4 linked regions of the Nothobranchius furzeri genome follow. The protein of the gene in region 2 binds, or shares a complex with, the protein of the main gene of each other region. Links are inferred from orthologs where the notes say so. Each region holds a gene or a part of one and is shown on either strand. Other genes may lie near its edges. The genes, in order: fkbp3, mtor, mlst8 and rapamycin-insensitive companion of mTOR.

The links.
Region 1: the proteins of mtor (region 2) and fkbp3 are in contact, whole or in part, in a crystal structure (PDB 5GPG), measured with the Homo sapiens proteins. The link is inferred for Nothobranchius furzeri from reciprocal best matches to the Homo sapiens genes MTOR and FKBP3. Residues at the interface, in NP_001373429.1 of Homo sapiens: Glu2032, Tyr2038, Phe2039, Gly2040, Arg2042, Tyr2088, Val2094, Leu2097, Tyr2105, His2106, Arg2109; in NP_002004.1 of Homo sapiens: Lys160, Pro161, Leu162, Ser163, Lys170, Tyr198, Lys201, Gly202, Gln203, Pro204, Asp205, Ala206.
Region 3: the proteins of mtor (region 2) and mlst8 are in contact, whole or in part, in a crystal structure (PDB 4JSV), measured with the Homo sapiens proteins. The link is inferred for Nothobranchius furzeri from reciprocal best matches to the Homo sapiens genes MTOR and MLST8. Residues at the interface, in NP_001373429.1 of Homo sapiens: Leu2269, Arg2270, Met2271, Ala2272, Pro2273, Asp2274, His2277, Leu2278, Thr2279, Leu2280, Met2281, Gln2282, Val2284, Glu2285, Val2286, Glu2288, His2289, Asn2292, Asn2293, Glu2536; in NP_001186102.1 of Homo sapiens: Tyr20, His22, Asp42, Ser43, Gln44, Val45, Asn46, Tyr62, Asn87, Glu105, Gln148, Thr174, Arg221, Tyr222, Leu224, Ser268, Arg270, Gly271, Trp272, Trp274, Ser290, Lys313, Val316.
Region 4: the proteins of mtor (region 2) and rapamycin-insensitive companion of mTOR are in contact, whole or in part, in a cryo-EM structure (PDB 6ZWM), measured with the Homo sapiens proteins. The link is inferred for Nothobranchius furzeri from reciprocal best matches to the Homo sapiens genes MTOR and RICTOR. Residues at the interface, in NP_001373429.1 of Homo sapiens: Arg1028, Asp1032, Lys1068, Leu1069, Asp1108, Asp1109, Tyr1110, Asp1150, Lys1187, Asn1196, Val1200, Gln1207, Asp1210, Val1211, Cys1214, Arg1215, Lys1218, Gly1219, Tyr1220, Thr1221, Leu1222, Ala1223, Glu1226, Glu1227, Asp1228, Leu1230, Ile1231, His1234, Arg1235, Arg1238; in NP_689969.2 of Homo sapiens: Leu204, Arg205, Gly206, Asn209, Arg245, Asp247, Val248, Glu249, Glu251, Arg252, Leu254, Thr258, Asp259, Phe260, His261, Tyr262, Arg263, His264, Ser265, Pro266, Asn306, Gly308, Ser311, Gly314, Val315, Cys317, Ile318, Pro319, Glu345, Ile347.

The regions. Positions count from the first base shown.
Region 1 is NC_091742.1:23,796,101-23,799,901, forward strand, and holds fkbp3 (peptidyl-prolyl cis-trans isomerase FKBP3), read right to left. Parts: upstream 2,477-3,801; 5' UTR 2,427-2,476; coding exon 2,322-2,426; intron 2,167-2,321; coding exon 2,065-2,166; intron 1,978-2,064; coding exon 1,879-1,977; intron 1,734-1,878; coding exon 1,598-1,733; intron 1,513-1,597; coding exon 1,445-1,512; intron 1,366-1,444; coding exon 1,268-1,365; intron 979-1,267; coding exon 924-978; 3' UTR 562-923; downstream 1-561. Other genes in the region: faua (FAU ubiquitin like and ribosomal protein S30 fusion a), read left to right, coding at 162-217, 400-525. UniProt on the Homo sapiens protein: FK506- and rapamycin-binding proteins (FKBPs) constitute a family of receptors for the two immunosuppressants which inhibit T-cell proliferation by arresting two distinct cytoplasmic signal transmission pathways. PPIases accelerate the folding of proteins.
Region 2 is NC_091755.1:52,484,525-52,488,086, forward strand, and holds part of mtor (serine/threonine-protein kinase mTOR), read right to left. Parts: intron 1,921-3,562; coding exon 1,808-1,920; intron 1,520-1,807; coding exon 1,357-1,519; intron 916-1,356; coding exon 823-915; intron 522-822; coding exon 375-521; intron 1-374. UniProt on the Homo sapiens protein: Serine/threonine protein kinase which is a central regulator of cellular metabolism, growth and survival in response to hormones, growth factors, nutrients, energy and stress signals.
Region 3 is NC_091756.1:30,074,092-30,078,215, reverse strand, and holds the start of mlst8 (target of rapamycin complex subunit lst8), read right to left. Parts: upstream 2,860-4,124; 5' UTR 2,766-2,859; intron 2,760-2,765; exon of another isoform or gene 2,564-2,759; 5' UTR 2,528-2,563; coding exon 2,399-2,527; intron 2,283-2,398; coding exon 2,231-2,282; intron 1,457-2,230; exon of another isoform or gene 1,321-1,456; intron 761-1,320; coding exon 598-760; intron 530-597; coding exon 454-529; intron 363-453; coding exon 210-362; intron 127-209; coding exon 2-126; intron 1-1.
Region 4 is NC_091757.1:36,632,437-36,636,521, reverse strand, and holds the start of rapamycin-insensitive companion of mTOR, read right to left. Parts: upstream 2,862-4,085; 5' UTR 2,635-2,861; coding exon 2,520-2,634; intron 2,395-2,519; coding exon 2,347-2,394; intron 336-2,346; coding exon 238-335; intron 1-237. Other genes in the region: c17h5orf34 (uncharacterized protein C5orf34 homolog), read right to left, coding at 4,054-4,085. UniProt on the Homo sapiens protein: Component of the mechanistic target of rapamycin complex 2 (mTORC2), which transduces signals from growth factors to pathways involved in proliferation, cytoskeletal organization, lipogenesis and anabolic output.

The sequences.
Region 1 (3,801 bases), on a different chromosome or scaffold from region 2:
ATTAGCAAACGTGACAAATAGATAATGAATCAAACTCAAGTTTGTAGGTTATCAGTTTGACAAGGTAGTGAGTGGTAAACTGCTGATTGTACATATAAACAGCATCATATGAATAGTTATTTATTTTTGAAGACCTATAGTTTAATCATGCTCTCTTTCAGGTAAGGTGCACGGTTCACTTGCCCGTGCTGGAAAAGTGAGAGGCCAGACTCCCAAAGTAAGGAATTTTACATCTTTAACTCCATTAAAGCATTTATAGTTAAGGAATTGTCCAAAATGGGTGTATAAAGAAACATTTAGTTGTTTTCCCTCACAGTTTGAGTCAGTTATTAAAAATGTAATTTATAAAAAGTCATTAACTGGTACAATCCTAAATATCTGCGTTTTTTTTCCATCCAGGTCGACAAACAGGAGAAGAAAAAAAAGAAGACTGGCCGTGCCAAGCGCCGTATCCAGTACAACAGGCGCTTCGTGAATGTCGTGCCCACCTTCGGAAAGAAGAAGGGTCCAAATGCAAACTCCTAATCAGCAACCCGGAGGAGAAACGACAAACGCCATCTGTCATCTTTTACCAAGTTAATGTTTATTTCTGTACAGAATAAAGAAGTTTAACTTGGCTTCAACGCGTTGTGTCGTGGTACTAGATTATAATAAATGTAGAAAAGCTTGGTGCTTTTATTTCATAGCATCTTTAATGTACAAGTTCAATGAAACAGCTAAATGTGAAAATTAAAATGAAGTAATTAAGTCTTTTGTACAAACTAAGAACTTTATTTTGTACACGGAAACATTACAATCATTCTGGTTTAAACAAATGACATGTGACTAGATAAAGGCAAAGTGGACTGTTTAAGTGCAGTCCAAACGACATTTCAACATAGGGATCCAAAAGCTGCATATGGAGAGCAATGCTGGTGGACTGTTTAATCCACAGACACCAGCTCAACCTCAAAAATCAGCTTTGCATTAGGAGGGATTCTGGTGGAGCTGGAATTAAGGAAAATGTGTTAACAGGAAGTCAAACTATAACCTTCACAAAAATATAATTTACCACAGTCAAGATGTTCAATATTATCCAGCACCTTAAACTAGAGAAAAAACACCTAAACGTAAACAACTCATTTATGACTATTATGATCAAAACCCTATTTCCTGCTTATTTTAAAGAGTTAAAGTACTTTCCAGTACCACAAAAATTCTACAAGATTAAGAAAACTAGCCCAGTAAAATGAAACCTGTTTTATTGTGATGCCAAAGAGAAGGATACTTGGAGTCAGGGAGGCCTTTCTTCCCGTACGCCCACTCCGCTTCAATCTCCAGCCGGGCCGTTTCCCCTTTGCTCATAGTCAGAAGGCCTTCATCCCACTGGAGTGACGGCAGGAATTAAGAGTCTAACATTGTGGAAATTGTGAACATGCACATGAAGGATAAAAAAAAAACCTACTCCTCGGATGACTTTGCCCATGCCTACTTTGAAGCTCAGAGGTTTAGCCTGCTTCTTCTTTCTCGCCACTAAAGATGAAGACAGACTGAGTTTTATCCGTAAACATGAAAGATGCTGGTCTGAAGTTCCAAACCCGTATTTCTGGCATCATACCTGAGGGTATATTCGTGTCAAACACCGTTCCATCTTCTAGGGTACCAGTGTACCAGCAGCTCACAGTGTCACCCTTCTTAGGAAAGTTTGTCTTGTCGCCTTTCTTTAGGATGGATTTGGTGTACTTTGGAGGACCCTAAAACAAGCAGAATCACCTCAGCCTCCGTTATCCTTACGCAGCAGTGTATTGCTGATGAAATTATGAAGAAACGTAGTGGATGGGAGTCATAACATCTTCAAAATAAAGACTAAATTTGTTGTGCATAAACCAGAAAAATCACCTCATCCACCACTTCTGCCTTCACTTCTTTGGGCTTTTCTTCTATTTTCACTGCTTTCACCTGCTCGGTCAGCTCCTCTGGTTCTGTGCCTTTAAATCTCTGCAAAATAAAACTTACAGCATTCACGTTTATCATGTTTATAGATGACACAGCATCTGATATTCAGGTCTCCTCAGCATCACTCACTTTACTCTCAAACAGCTGGTTGTACGCTGTCACGAGCTGCTCTTTCTTTGCTGTTTTGGCCACATTTTTAATATTTCCCAGCAGCTTGTGCTCATTGAGGAACTGGAAGACAAACACGCGGCCAGAATGGGAGCGTTAGCACGTTTTTGATGCTGCAGTATTGTTGCTAGCCCTGCAATCCGTTTAGTGAACATTAGCATCGTAAAACACACAATATTAAGAATGAAACTTCCCCGAAAATAAAGCGAGAATCATACCGAGTGTGAAGCATTGTCTTGGATGAACTTTATTATGTCTTTTTTGGGTAAATCATCACTTTTCAGCTGCTCATCGCTCCATTCCCGTGCTGGCTCGGCCGCCATCTTAAAAGGCAAACTGGTGACCTTTGAACTCGCTGCGCATTGTTTTTGTTTTGAATTCGATTATTTGTTTATTTATCTTCAAGGAAGCTACTAAGTTAGTTATATGAATATTACATTTACTAAAAATAGACTGAAAAAGATATAACACAAATTAATGCAAGTTTGCTTAAAATAGCTCACCCACTTGGTAAACAATAAACAAACTTTATTTTTTACTGCTAATGTTCAGTGCAAAAGTTTATTCATCGGTCGTTTAACTTGACAGATGGCAACATACTATGTTTATAAGGGATTCATATGTATTATTTAGGTCAAATGAATGGAAACACAACGAGAATCAATTAGTATCTGGTTTTCGAAGATAAGGATTTTTCCATCCTCTGGCGGACCGAAGATGTTACTACAGCATTCAAATGGCTAAACAAGACATAACACACACACACACACACACACGCACGCACGCACGCGCACGCACGCATGCACACACACACACACACGCACGCACGCGCACACACGCACGCACGCATGCACACACACACACACACACACACACACACACAGAGCATCACTCTCACCCAGTAACTCTTGTTGCCTAGTAACCAACTAGAGAGATGAATAAATATCTGCATGGCCTTGTTCTCCAGCTTGGTATGATGGTGGAGCATCATCATCTCGCTGCAATTATCTCTTTACAGGAAATCTCCCAGGTCTCATCTCTCCTCTTTTGTTACCCACCAGGGGAGAAAAGTGCAAAACTCCAAAGGTTGGTGTTGGAAAACCTGATCTCACTGTTTCTCACTCAAACAACACCACTACTTCCACTACTACTACCACTACTACTACTACTACTACTACTACTACTACTACTACTACTACTACTACTACTACTACTACTACTACTACTACTGCTGCTGCTGCTGCTACGGCTACAGCTACCACCACTACTACTACTACTGCTACTACTACTACTACTACTACTACTAATAATAATAATAATAATAAAGCTACTACTACTACTATTAATACTACTACTACTACCACTACTACTACTACTACTACTACTAATAATAATAATAATAATGCTACTACTACTATTACTACTACTACTACCACTACTGCTAATTTGTCTACAAGTTGTCCTCAGGCATTATATTGCTCGAGCACACTGGAGCTCTTACTGGAAGCTCAATAATTCCCTGTTAGTTCACCAAAATGTTATGAAAATAGCATTCATTAATTAAACATTAATGGAATTAAGCTTTTCTATAATGATCAATTCTGGTGAAGGTTCTCAGTCATCCAGCTCTTGGTAATCTAAAGGGTTCAAGTGAAGGCAACTGGACTTCTTTGGTTTCTTGAAGACATTTCGCTTCTC
Region 2 (3,562 bases):
TGATTTCAAACAGCACTGGAACCGTGTGGGAGATCCAGCTTTTCCAGATCTCAAAAGAGTGAAACCACAGCATAAAAACCATCACTCTCGTATTCAAACCACTCCAATGACCCCATGTGCTCTTAAAACAGGCGTCTGCATTCAGTGTGTTCTTCTGCTCTTTCATTGAGAGTTTTTCTTCAAAGGTATTGCTGATCTGTTGGTTTCTATGGCATCTCCTCAAATAAACTGCGGGTTTGCAGTCAGAACTGTTTACCATATTGATTTTCAACATCTGCAGCAACGCTGGTAAACAAACAAAGGACTTCTTATGCTTCATTGTGAAAATAAGAGTTCAGATTTCAAAGAAAGTAGTGTTAGTTATCTCTTCTCACCTTCTGAAGCGCAGTAGTGCTAACATGAAGCTTTTTCATAGGGCCTGGCTCCACAGGGCCACTGACCAGAGCATCGCCTTTGTTACCACGAGTCTGGCGATGCTGGAAGATTAAAGGGTCTTCTTCCTCCTCTGCCAGAGTATAACCCTATTAAGGCCACAAATATGCACATATAAACACCAAGGCCACACACACACAGCCCACACACATGCTAACAGTTGTTTAAAGCATCAAAACATGTTTTTTGAATGGAGAAAAGCATTTCCTCCTGGAGGGGGCTGCTGGTAAACACAAGGAAGAATGTACAATGCTTATTTTACTGTTTAGTGATTTATTTCAAAGCTACATTGCAGGCAGATTAAAAAAACACACAAAAAAAAACCCCTGAATTACAGACACACTGGAAAGGTGTGTGACCGATTTAACATTAAAATCTGAATGCACCTACCTTTACAATCCGACATATGAGTATGTCGTATCGCTGGTGATTGACCCTGTGCTTCAGCATCACTTTGTTTACCATAGGGATGAAAATCTGGTACTGAAATCAGGAAGAAAGGAACGTTGTTTAAAAGTCAATGTGTGCCGCATGTGTTGTAGTCTAGATACGTCTTTCCTTTCACTATAAAGTAAATAATGGGGTATGAAGCATGAGCGTTTAACCTCTGAGAGCCTCACATCAAACGCCACCTCGACGTGTTTGTTGCCAAACATGGCTGGAAGGAATTCTGGTGGGTCTGAGGTTGGACCTCCAAACAATAAAAGTGTGTAGAGGTAAAACGTAGAAGGCTCAGGAGGAGAGGCGGGGTTACATGTGACCTCATCCATGCTCATAAACACCAACACCCGCTGATAGAGTGACATAAGCAGTCTGGCAGGAAGTAATAAGAGACTGGAGGGGGGGTAAAAGTGCTGCTCATGTAAAGCCAACAGTAGGGAAGTTGGCCATTTAAAAGGCAGTTCCAGGGATGGATGTGACTACCTTCTTTCCTAACTGGAATACGAGTGAGGACAGGGTGTCCATGGAGGTGGAACGCAGCTCGGGCGTGCTGTCCAGCGTCCTGACAATCGGGTGTATAATGCGTGACGCGTAGTCTGTGAAGTCCAGTGACTCCGTCAGCCGGTCAAGGGTCTCCAAGGCAACTCTGAGCCACAAAGACAAACACAAAACTTGGTTTGAATATTGTTGACAGCAGCAAAACAAAAACACACTGCTGCATCACACTTTACATATGTTTGAAGAACTATTCCGGGCCAGTTTTTAGAAGTAAAAACAGAAACATAATAAAACAATAGGGATGCACCGGAGAGAAAATGTCCAACATTGATATGTAACTTATATTATTTCCCTACACTTTCAACATGATGTAAAAGCAACCACACCACCCAACATTTTTAATCAATTCATAATTTTCCTTTGGGGTTTTACTGACTTTCGGGCTTGCGGTGGTACATCGGGGGCATCAAAGAGCTTGACAATAGGAGGCAGCAACAAGTGAAGGTAGTCGTCCAAGTTTGCACCAAACAGCTGGATGGCAATGAGCAGCTAGAGAAGAGAGGGAATATAACTTTATAACATTTCCCATGAGATGGTTATTTGCTGCCCCCCCCCCCCCCCAGTACACCTGAAGTAAAGCTTTTATTTTGGTAAGTTGGTGGCATAAACACAAGGCTTCCAAATGGTTCAATGGTGTAATACAAGAGCACATTATATATATGTATATATATGTAGGTATATATATATATATGTATATATATGTAGGTATATATATATATATATATATATATATATATATATATATATATATATATATATATATACATTTACATCAACATACTATAATGCGCCATCGGCCCATGTCTAAAGTTCACACGGCGAGACAGCAGGAAGCTGGAGTGTAGGCATTTATTTGTGGTAGTGTGTGGGATACTGAGCTGAACTGTGTCATGAAATGATGGAAGTGTGTTTTTCTTCTTCCCTCTTCTGAACCTGAGGGTAACCCGACTCCAAATCCCCCGTTCTATGAACCCCATCTCGTGCTTGAGATTAGACTCCAGACCCAGACCAGACTTATAGACAATCCAGACTGCGAGCTCCTAAGTTACATAAAACTGTAAACGTTGAGACCGAGAAGAACCAAAGAAAAGTCGACTGTGTGCTCATGATTCCATCTTTGTGCTCTCTGCCCAAACCCATGATTTAGGGTTTGAAGTAAAGTTCTGAAAATATTGGCAGCAGCTGCAGAAACCAGAGAGCGTGTTACTCACAGGTTTACAGCATCTTTGAAGTGACATATTACAAGTGAAAGGCCTAAACCTGTTTGGTGCTGATGAATACTGATGGAGAGCGAAAGCAGCAGCCCGATGAGTCAGCTTTGGGTTATAAACGTGGGGAGTGATGGCAGTACATTAAAAACACAAACTCTTCTTGGCTGCACCGCTGAAATGAATTTATTGCATCAAATCTGAAATATAACCTTGATAATGTGCTTTAACCGTGTAATTTATAACAAGCCACAGGTCACAATATGTTGGTGGAGTTTCATGTGCAAGCTGCCATCCCTAACCTTAAAAGAATAAAAAATTATACACATTTGTTTCATTTAGACTTTTTACAGGGATTAATGAATTAAAAACTGCTACTTGATGCTAAAATTGGTCAAGAAATCTGTAAAATGTACTTAAATCCCATTTTTCTCTTCGAAACAGGCAGAATAATAAGATGATTATTTAATTTTCACCTTAATAGAAATTATCAGGTTTTTTCTATTTGCTGTTTTTTCTATTGCTTTGTGAACAAAAACAAAAACATATTTTGCCAATATGGAAGACAAAATAGAAAAATTAATGCAAATCTTCTTATTTATTAGAAATGGTGAAAACAAAAGATAAATTTTGATTAACCTCAATAAGAAAGGCAGAGCTGGGCTGTAAAAATGCTACGAGAACACAAAAACCACCAACAGAACAAATTAAAAATCAGCAAAACACCAAGTCTCTCTTTCTATAATAGCATCATTCCCACGTGTGCTTTGTGAAAACGACTTCACCATTCAGAGACTGCTGTGCACTTCGCCAGGAAAGCATTCAAGGAACATTATTCCCACAATAAGCTATTTATTTATTAATCCCCTGCTGGGTGTGTGTGTGTGTGTGTGCGTGCGTGCGTGTGTGTTTCAGACTGAGAT
Region 3 (4,124 bases), on a different chromosome or scaffold from region 2:
CGTGGAATCTGGGCTGAACTTGCAGCGCAGGGAGTAGCGTTTGTGTGCTGGGATCTTTGTTTTTGGAATGAGCTGAGTCACTTCATCTCCCATCCCTCCAGCCAGGTTCCACACATAACAGTTTCCCTGTTGAGCACAAAAAAGAACCGGTTTGCTTTTGTCTTTTTTAAATTACCCAGCATGGCCGATATTCTCATTTGCAGACTGACCGAACTGTTGACTGCTGCCATGTAACTGGCATCTGGGTCAATATGAACAGAGTTAACCGAGACTTCTGGTTCTGGAATCAGCTGTTCGTTGTGGTCTGTTTTCAGATCCCAAATATGAATCACTCCACTCTGGTCTCCGACTATCAACTCAGCCTGGAAAACACACAACAGTTAGAGCATTTGGAAACACTGTCACTTTAAACTAAAAGACTAAGATCCCAGAGACAAACGCAGCATGGCTAACCTGGTTGGGATGCAGGCACACACAATTAATGGGAGCGTTTACTTGAAAGATCCTCTGACACTGCAGGTTTCTGGACCTAAACAAGAAGCAGGGTTTATTTTAAGTTGGAGCTCACGGGTTTTCAGTAAGTCCTGCTACACTGACCTCAGGTCCCATATGCGAGCCATGCAGTCCTCTCCTCCCGTGTACATCCAGCGCCCGTCTTCATGGAAGCCCACAGAAGTGATGTTCTTGCTGACGCCGTCGTAGTTGATGACGGGGTTTGGGTTGTTGGAGTTCAGGTCGTACATGCGGATGTGCTGGTAACCTTTGAAACAGAATGCACATTACCTGTGAGATAAATCCAAAGCGTTTAACGTTTTACTGGTTCAATTATTTGCTTTTCTTAAAGAACCTGTCTGATTTAGGGGTTGTACGAAATAGTCGACTAGTCGACTTCACGGCTCTGTAGTGACTTTTTATGCCTGTCATCAACTAGTCGCTGTCACGTCATAATGACTGACAAGATGCAGTCCTCGGAAAAGACAGCAGGTGATGAGCCCCTGCGCGTCTGGATCGAGGCGGAGGCGACGCGCTGTGCGGTACTGACACCGGCGGTAAAACGGACATTTAACCAAACTGTGACCTTTTCCCTCTTGCAATTTAACCTTCCCCTCACCCCCATCCTAATCTTAACCAGTTTGCGCATGCAAAGCTCTGATCGTTGACGCGCTCCAGACATTGCGTCCTGAGCACCGCCAAATCAGGTGTCACCACCTCAAAAACAAATTAAACACGCGATCGTTCATGTCGGCTCATTTCCTTTCATGTTTTCTGTCTGTTATTTGTGCCTGATGCATTTCGCTGCTGCGGAGCGATGCGCATCACCTGTTGTCCTCCGGTGACGCACCCCCAAGATTCCACTATCTCTCCACTCCGCTCTGGCACGAACTCCGCAGCAAAAACGGTCCCGTTGTAGTTGGCCGGCGAGCAGCGGCACTCCGCTGTTTTTGCGGTCGGTAGATCTTTTAGAACTGCAGTTCAAAGGTAACTCATAAGGTGAATATATATGAACCCAGGTAGCAGGTTTTCTTTAGGACTGAGAGGAGATGCAGGAAGATAATAAAGACAGGACAGAAAAATAGTCAAATAAAAACAAGTTAGTTTTTGTACCTGGTGGTTGCAACAAACAGACACCACTGAATGTAATCAGAAGTGAGGAACAGAAAATGAAATCATTATTTGAATGTTTAGAGCAGCAGGAAAGGCTGCAGGCGCATCAGTGAGATTGCGGCTGCTGCGCAGGGGGAGGGGGGAGAGGACTGAAGTAGGATGCAGAAACTACCGTTGTTAAAAGAGATGTGTTAACTTAGAAAATGTGGGCGCAATTTTAATTGTCAAAAACTCCAGCGAATCTATCGACCGACCCCCCCCCCCCCCGCCACTTCCGGCGTATGACGTCATCAACGACTAGTCGAAGTCGACTTGACTTTCATTACTTGACTGTCGACTTTAAAAAAAATAAAGTCGTGCAGGCCCTAGTCTGATTTTGTTTTTTGCAAATGCCACCAAATCCCATAAACTAGTCCCATTCTTCGCTCAGTATTTTGCTGAAGCATTCAACAACAACTAGAGCCAATGAGGTCCTTTTCAAATCCTGTCCAACCAACTGAACCCATCGCAGGTAGATTCTGAAGGCGGATAAGCTTTACAAAACAATTTATATTTTATAAATATGGGGTACTGTAAGTAGAGAAACACACAACGTGAAGCTCTATTGATGCATGCATGAACCAACCTGCAGCTGCAATCATACTTCTGTCAGGCGTCACCTCCAGGGAATTGACTTGCTGGGGGAAAATGTCAAGAAAATAAACTTTTATTATATGTCTAATTATTGCATTCTGTTTCTGTAAAGGGTTTCTTTAAAAACAAATACGACAATCGTTAGCTCAAGCACAAGTACCGAGTCCTGGTGCTGGACCGTCCTGGTGCAGATCCCACTGTGGGCCTGCCAGAAGCGGACAGTGTGGTCATATCCCGCCGTGGCCAGAATAACCGGGTCGCTGCCCACCGTCCCCTGGTTCACATTCATGTTTCCACAGCAGTCTGGTTGTCAGAACCGTCAATGCTACACTAAGATAATGAAAATTAGCATTCTGACCTTTACTAAAAGGGATGAAAATCACAGCTTAACAGAAGCTAGTCTTAGCTCAACAAGCTAACCAAGGTCGAAGTTTAACACTTTCGAGATTAAACCGTTTTCTGCGACAACACCTCTCACCTTACAGTAAAACAGCGATATTTGATAAACAGCATTTTGTTTACATTACCCTCTGCCGTCGATTCAGGAAAAAACGCGTCTTGGTTAAAAGCGTCCTCCAGAAACCAGAGTTCCGTTACAAACGTTCCGTGTTGATGAGTGCATTACCGCCACTTACTGGTGAATTAGAAATTAACAGGACGAACTGTCTGGATTTACGTCATGTTAATAATAAATATATTGCATTTATTAAGAATAAAATACCTCTAAGTCTACCGTGGGTTTAGTTTCGCCCTGAGGCCGCACGATCTGATGTTTATAGAGCTGCAGTTAACCGCTTCAGCTTGTTTATTTTATCGTGTTCAACACAAATAATTAAAAGTTAAGTAGTCTGCATATGTAAAGATGATATGGCTTTCCAGTCATCTAGACAAACTACGCTAATTCAATAATCGTAGTAATTTTAAGTGGTTTTATCTTCAACCACTTGTCTCCAGAAGAGGGCGATCCCTTACTCTCGAAAGCTAGACTCAGTTCTCGTTTTTTCATCCAGCTGACCTAGCTAAACATAAAAATTCATTACATATGTGGCCATTAATCAAAACAAATGACAGATTATAAGTACGGTAATTAAATTAAACGTTTATTCAGATAAAGAACAACCCGTATAAAAGAACTGTTTCTCTATTCTGTAGTTGTTACTTTTGCTGCATTTGTTTTCTTTTATTTAAATTATATGAAAAGGTTACAAATTTGTGAGATCCAAACAAATCTAAATGGTTTTCCTGTTAAAACAGAAATGTTTACCTTTTGAAAAATAATTCCCATGTATGAATGTCTGTTTATTAGACGCTGTTGAGTATTTATTGGTCAATAACTAATAATTAAGTTTGATATCTGACATGTTTGATTAGAAACTACAAACTCATGCTGGTAAAAATGTTATCTAAATATATTTATTTGACCTATTTGATGCATAGACTTTTAAGTTATGTTATGCAATAAAATAAACATTTGATTACTTGTTTTTAAATATGACTGAAAATATTTAATAAGCAGACGCCCAGCGCAACACCCGCTCACACATCTGAAGTAAGCCACTGATATGTGAACTCATGTTTTCACCAGTCGTTTTAAAATCAATGCATATAAAAGTACACATGACTGAATCAATACAAAAGTTAATTCATGCAATTATTGATGCTTATACTACCATTTGTACTCTTTAATAGTAACATTACCCCTCTTGTTGTCTATTGAATTTGTCTTTATTTCATATATAAATATTCTGTAATTTTTTATTGTCTCATAATAAACCTACATATAGTGGTTTTACATTTAATAACTACTATTTTGCCTTCATAAGCTTATTTATTCTTAAAATTAGCAGCTTCAATCCTCCACTGAATACGAATTGTTTAAAGTAGAA
Region 4 (4,085 bases), on a different chromosome or scaffold from region 2:
CTGGTGTGTGTTCTGTGCCATCTTTTAGGTGGGAATTTTACTGACACACAAGCAAACTTCGGTACACCATCTTTGTGGTCATAATATCTACACCCTGGTATAACTTTCAGAAACATACAGATGTCATTTAGCATCACAAAGTTCCTGTGGCTAGAGAATGGTTGAAAACTACATTTCAACACTGTTTAGACAGATTACACAAACTGTGGATTTGGACCATCAGATCTGCAGTAGTACCTTAATGAAGTTGTTCAGGTGGCCCAGTTTTCGCATGTTACTGACTCCATGAGGTTTGGCCACATTTTGGAGAATTTCACGGAAGTTTTCAGATGGTTCTGCAAGGGAAAGAAGAAGAAAACAATGCAACGTAACAAAGTGTGAAGCCATACTGGTATAGTATCAGTAATTGATTCACTGCAGGAAGGAAGACGGTCCAGCTCATTTAGCGTGTACAGTCAAAACAAGACGCAATTAAAAGAGCAAGATGTGAGCAGGTCAGCATTTGGTTTGCACGTCCTTCCAATTTATATGTGCTGACCACAATGTTATTGACATAAGGAATGTGGCTGTAAAACAGAGAACTCTATTGGCAAGAAGGATTAATAACTTGACATTGAAATATTGTGAAACCCAGGAAAAGTTCCAGCAGCTCCAGACACTAAAAATACATCAGGATAACCACTTTACAGATTTATTCACATACACCAAGTCCACTAGAACAACTCCACAATAGCTTAGCAGGTTTCAGGACTTTGCAAACGGTTGATTTATTTTATGAATTAAAACAAACATGCACAATAAATCTATGAATTTCATGTTGTTTACTTTTCATTGAACTTTAAAAAACAGCAAACATGTACAACCAAATATCAAGAAAGAAAATATGTTATACAGACTCATCAGTTTGATTTGATGCCCATTCAAATATATATTTAAGTATCTTATATTAGAGGTGGATTTGAAAAAAAGAGCAATGACAATAACTTCAGATAATAATCCTTCATTTAGAGCACAGACTTAGTTTGGTTTCCCTATTTGTAACAATGCATTAGTAGAAAAGTGTACATGCAAATCATTTTAGAAGCATTGCATGGTGGTTTTTTTTTTATTTCAATTTCAGGGCAGGATAAGTGCCAACCATCCAGATTAATCAAAGCTAATCGCAATTGCTTTGTGTCTTTTAAAGATCATTTTAACCCATGACAAGTGTTATTTACGCATGCTTTGATTCTGTTGAACATTCTATTGTTTAACAGTTTGGAGTCAAGCAACCCAATCAATCTTAAAATCTATGATGTCAAGCGCTGAATACAAGTACAAAACAAAAAGTATAATCTATTGAGATTTGATATTTTTGTTTACTTTAATCACTTTCCTTTACCTATTAATAACTTAGTTCAAGAGATAGTGAAATTACTGTAAAAGCCTAGAAACAGCTACAAAAATAACAGTAGACTGTAGTTTGTTGTGTTTGTTGAAAGATCCTCACAAAGAAACAGTTTGCAAACTACAATTAAAAAAGTAACTCATAATTGAGCTTTCATGTCAGTTAGCACTCTCAGGTATCATGAAATCTCATTTATCTGTGCATTCTTCTAGTCTCCTGCTCATTTTGTATCATTGCTTTAAGTTTTTTAGGAAGATTTGCTGTTTTTGTATAAACTGTAACTTTCTCAAAATACTAAGCAAGAACATTGACTGCAAATTAGCCATAAGTAGAAGTTCTTTACACGGAAACTTGATATGAAACATGGCCTCTTTGTATTTTGGCCCTCAAGATATATATGTTTAAAACCTGCAGAGGAAAACTATCGTCACTGATATCTCATATGTTAAACGCCTCCAGCTCCTTATGTCAGCAGATACAACAAAATCCTGATGGATGATGCTGTTCACGAGTGTTCCGTGTAAACAAACCGGTGTTGTTGCTGGAGCAGTGTTTCTGACCCGGCTGAGAGGCTGTAGCTCAAGAACCAGCCTGTGCAGCCATATGTGCTACTTAGCAAACAGCCAGTACACCCAGTTCCTCGTGCAGTCAGTGATGACCGATGCATGAGCTGTCTGGCTGAATAACAGGCTCTGTATCCTACTAGCACCGATCAAAACAACAGCGCGTCGTCATGGCTGGTTAGCTGTGGCAGCTAATCCAGCTCGTTTGTTAGCTCGCTACCGCCCGTTGTTATGACTAGTTAGCAATGTTTTTACACGAAACAGAAAGGAAAACTGACTAAGTAAGAATTGCAAATAAAAATACATATGCACGTCATGGTTTGAGTTTCGTTTAATGGGGCAGTGTTTACAGCAAAGTGCCATGATGATCCATTTTGAAGAATAATCGCTGATTACCTCTGCTTAGATCCAGCGGTACGTTCTCCTCCCCGCTGTCATTCCGACCTGACAAAAACACACACAGTGTACACAAAAACACATCACTCCAAGCTCATCGCGTGTATGGGGTCTTCTATTTTGCAGATTCCCGCTGTTACACCTGTCATTGAACAGAGTTTTTTCAAGCTTACCTCGCATCCGAAGACTCCGTATAGGACGGCCGCGGAAGCTGGCCGCCATGTCTCCAGGAACATACAGTACACACAACACCGGAAACTTCGCGGAATCTCGCGACAATACACGCATCAAAGACGTCGTCTGCAAACTGGCTACGACAGACCCAGTATAAACTATATACGGTATTAATGTCGATGGACAGACCCAGCAGACCTGAGACTAGACCCCTCTGCTCAAAGTCCCTCTGTTGTTTGTGGATATAAAAACAGCAATCTGATCTGGGGACGGGGTTAATCACAATAATCAAATTTCACCACTAACCTCTTTTCATCCAAAAACACATGAAAGTAAAGTTGTTGTAGAGTTTATGACCATTTCAATCATGCCAGATTAAGACCATGACACTTTATTATTGTGGATTAGTATTATATATTTACACATTTTCTTTGACAATTGACTGCTTCTCTTTGATTAATTGATTAAACTAGTAAGGGTTGACTTAAGTAGTGTGATCTAATATTTATGAACAATCCAAACTGTTTTCTAAGCAAATGGTTCCCAATCTTTCAGCTTCAGACCCTCAAAGTAGCAATTGTCAAGACATGTGACCCACAAATATCTGATTTTAAACCATGCATAAAAGCTTAATAATTTAGGGCATAAGAAAACTGCTTCAGTTCATGTACAGTAATATACATTTATGACAATGTAGTTAAGGTTTGTAACAGTTATTATAAATAATATAGCTTCAGCAATCTTGGAAATTGTCTCAAGACCCCCCATGTGGTTCTTGGTGACCCACAGCAGGATCCCAACCCTAGCTTTGGAAACCACTGGATATTTTGCCCATGAAAGCCAAAACATTCCCAATTTATTTCACAAATACAACCTACTTTAATGCAACAAAGATATATTTAGCTATCTGGCAATGAAGTATTGCAAACTAGCCTAGTAATGTTCCCATTTTGCTTTCTTGATGCTATAAATTGTTAGGATGAACACATTTATTTTGGTTAAACTTGAAGGTTTCTAGCAGTTGCCACAACTTTTGCTGCATTACACCTAGGCTACAGTATGTTTACAAAAAGCAAAATGGCTGTTTTTTTTACTTGACTTAAAATGACTAAACTGCATAGTAACAGTCAACATGCAGTGTTAACCTGCTGAAGGTCTCTTCACAGAAACATGGCAGTTAAGTCTGCAAGTTAACGATGTGAAGGATATTTTTGCCCTTTAAATTGGTCGTATTTCTAACATGTGCAAAGTAGTATTCCTCACCAAATCAAAACTGCAATTTATAATTTGATTATAATAAAAACCATAACAATGGAAATTTTCCCACATCATTTGGAAACATATTTATCAGTGGAATAAAGTTTTCTTTGTTCTTCTTTCAACACTGACGGGAATAGAAGACAAAGAACAATGTGTGTACATTTGATGTCTAGACACAAGTTACTACAGTCAAATTAAATATTACATGCGTAACATCTTTAAACAGAGGATCAGAATCTGTAATTACAGATTTACGACATGTTCTTCAGTGACTCAAGTCAGTGTTTCTCCAGCAATTAGAGCAT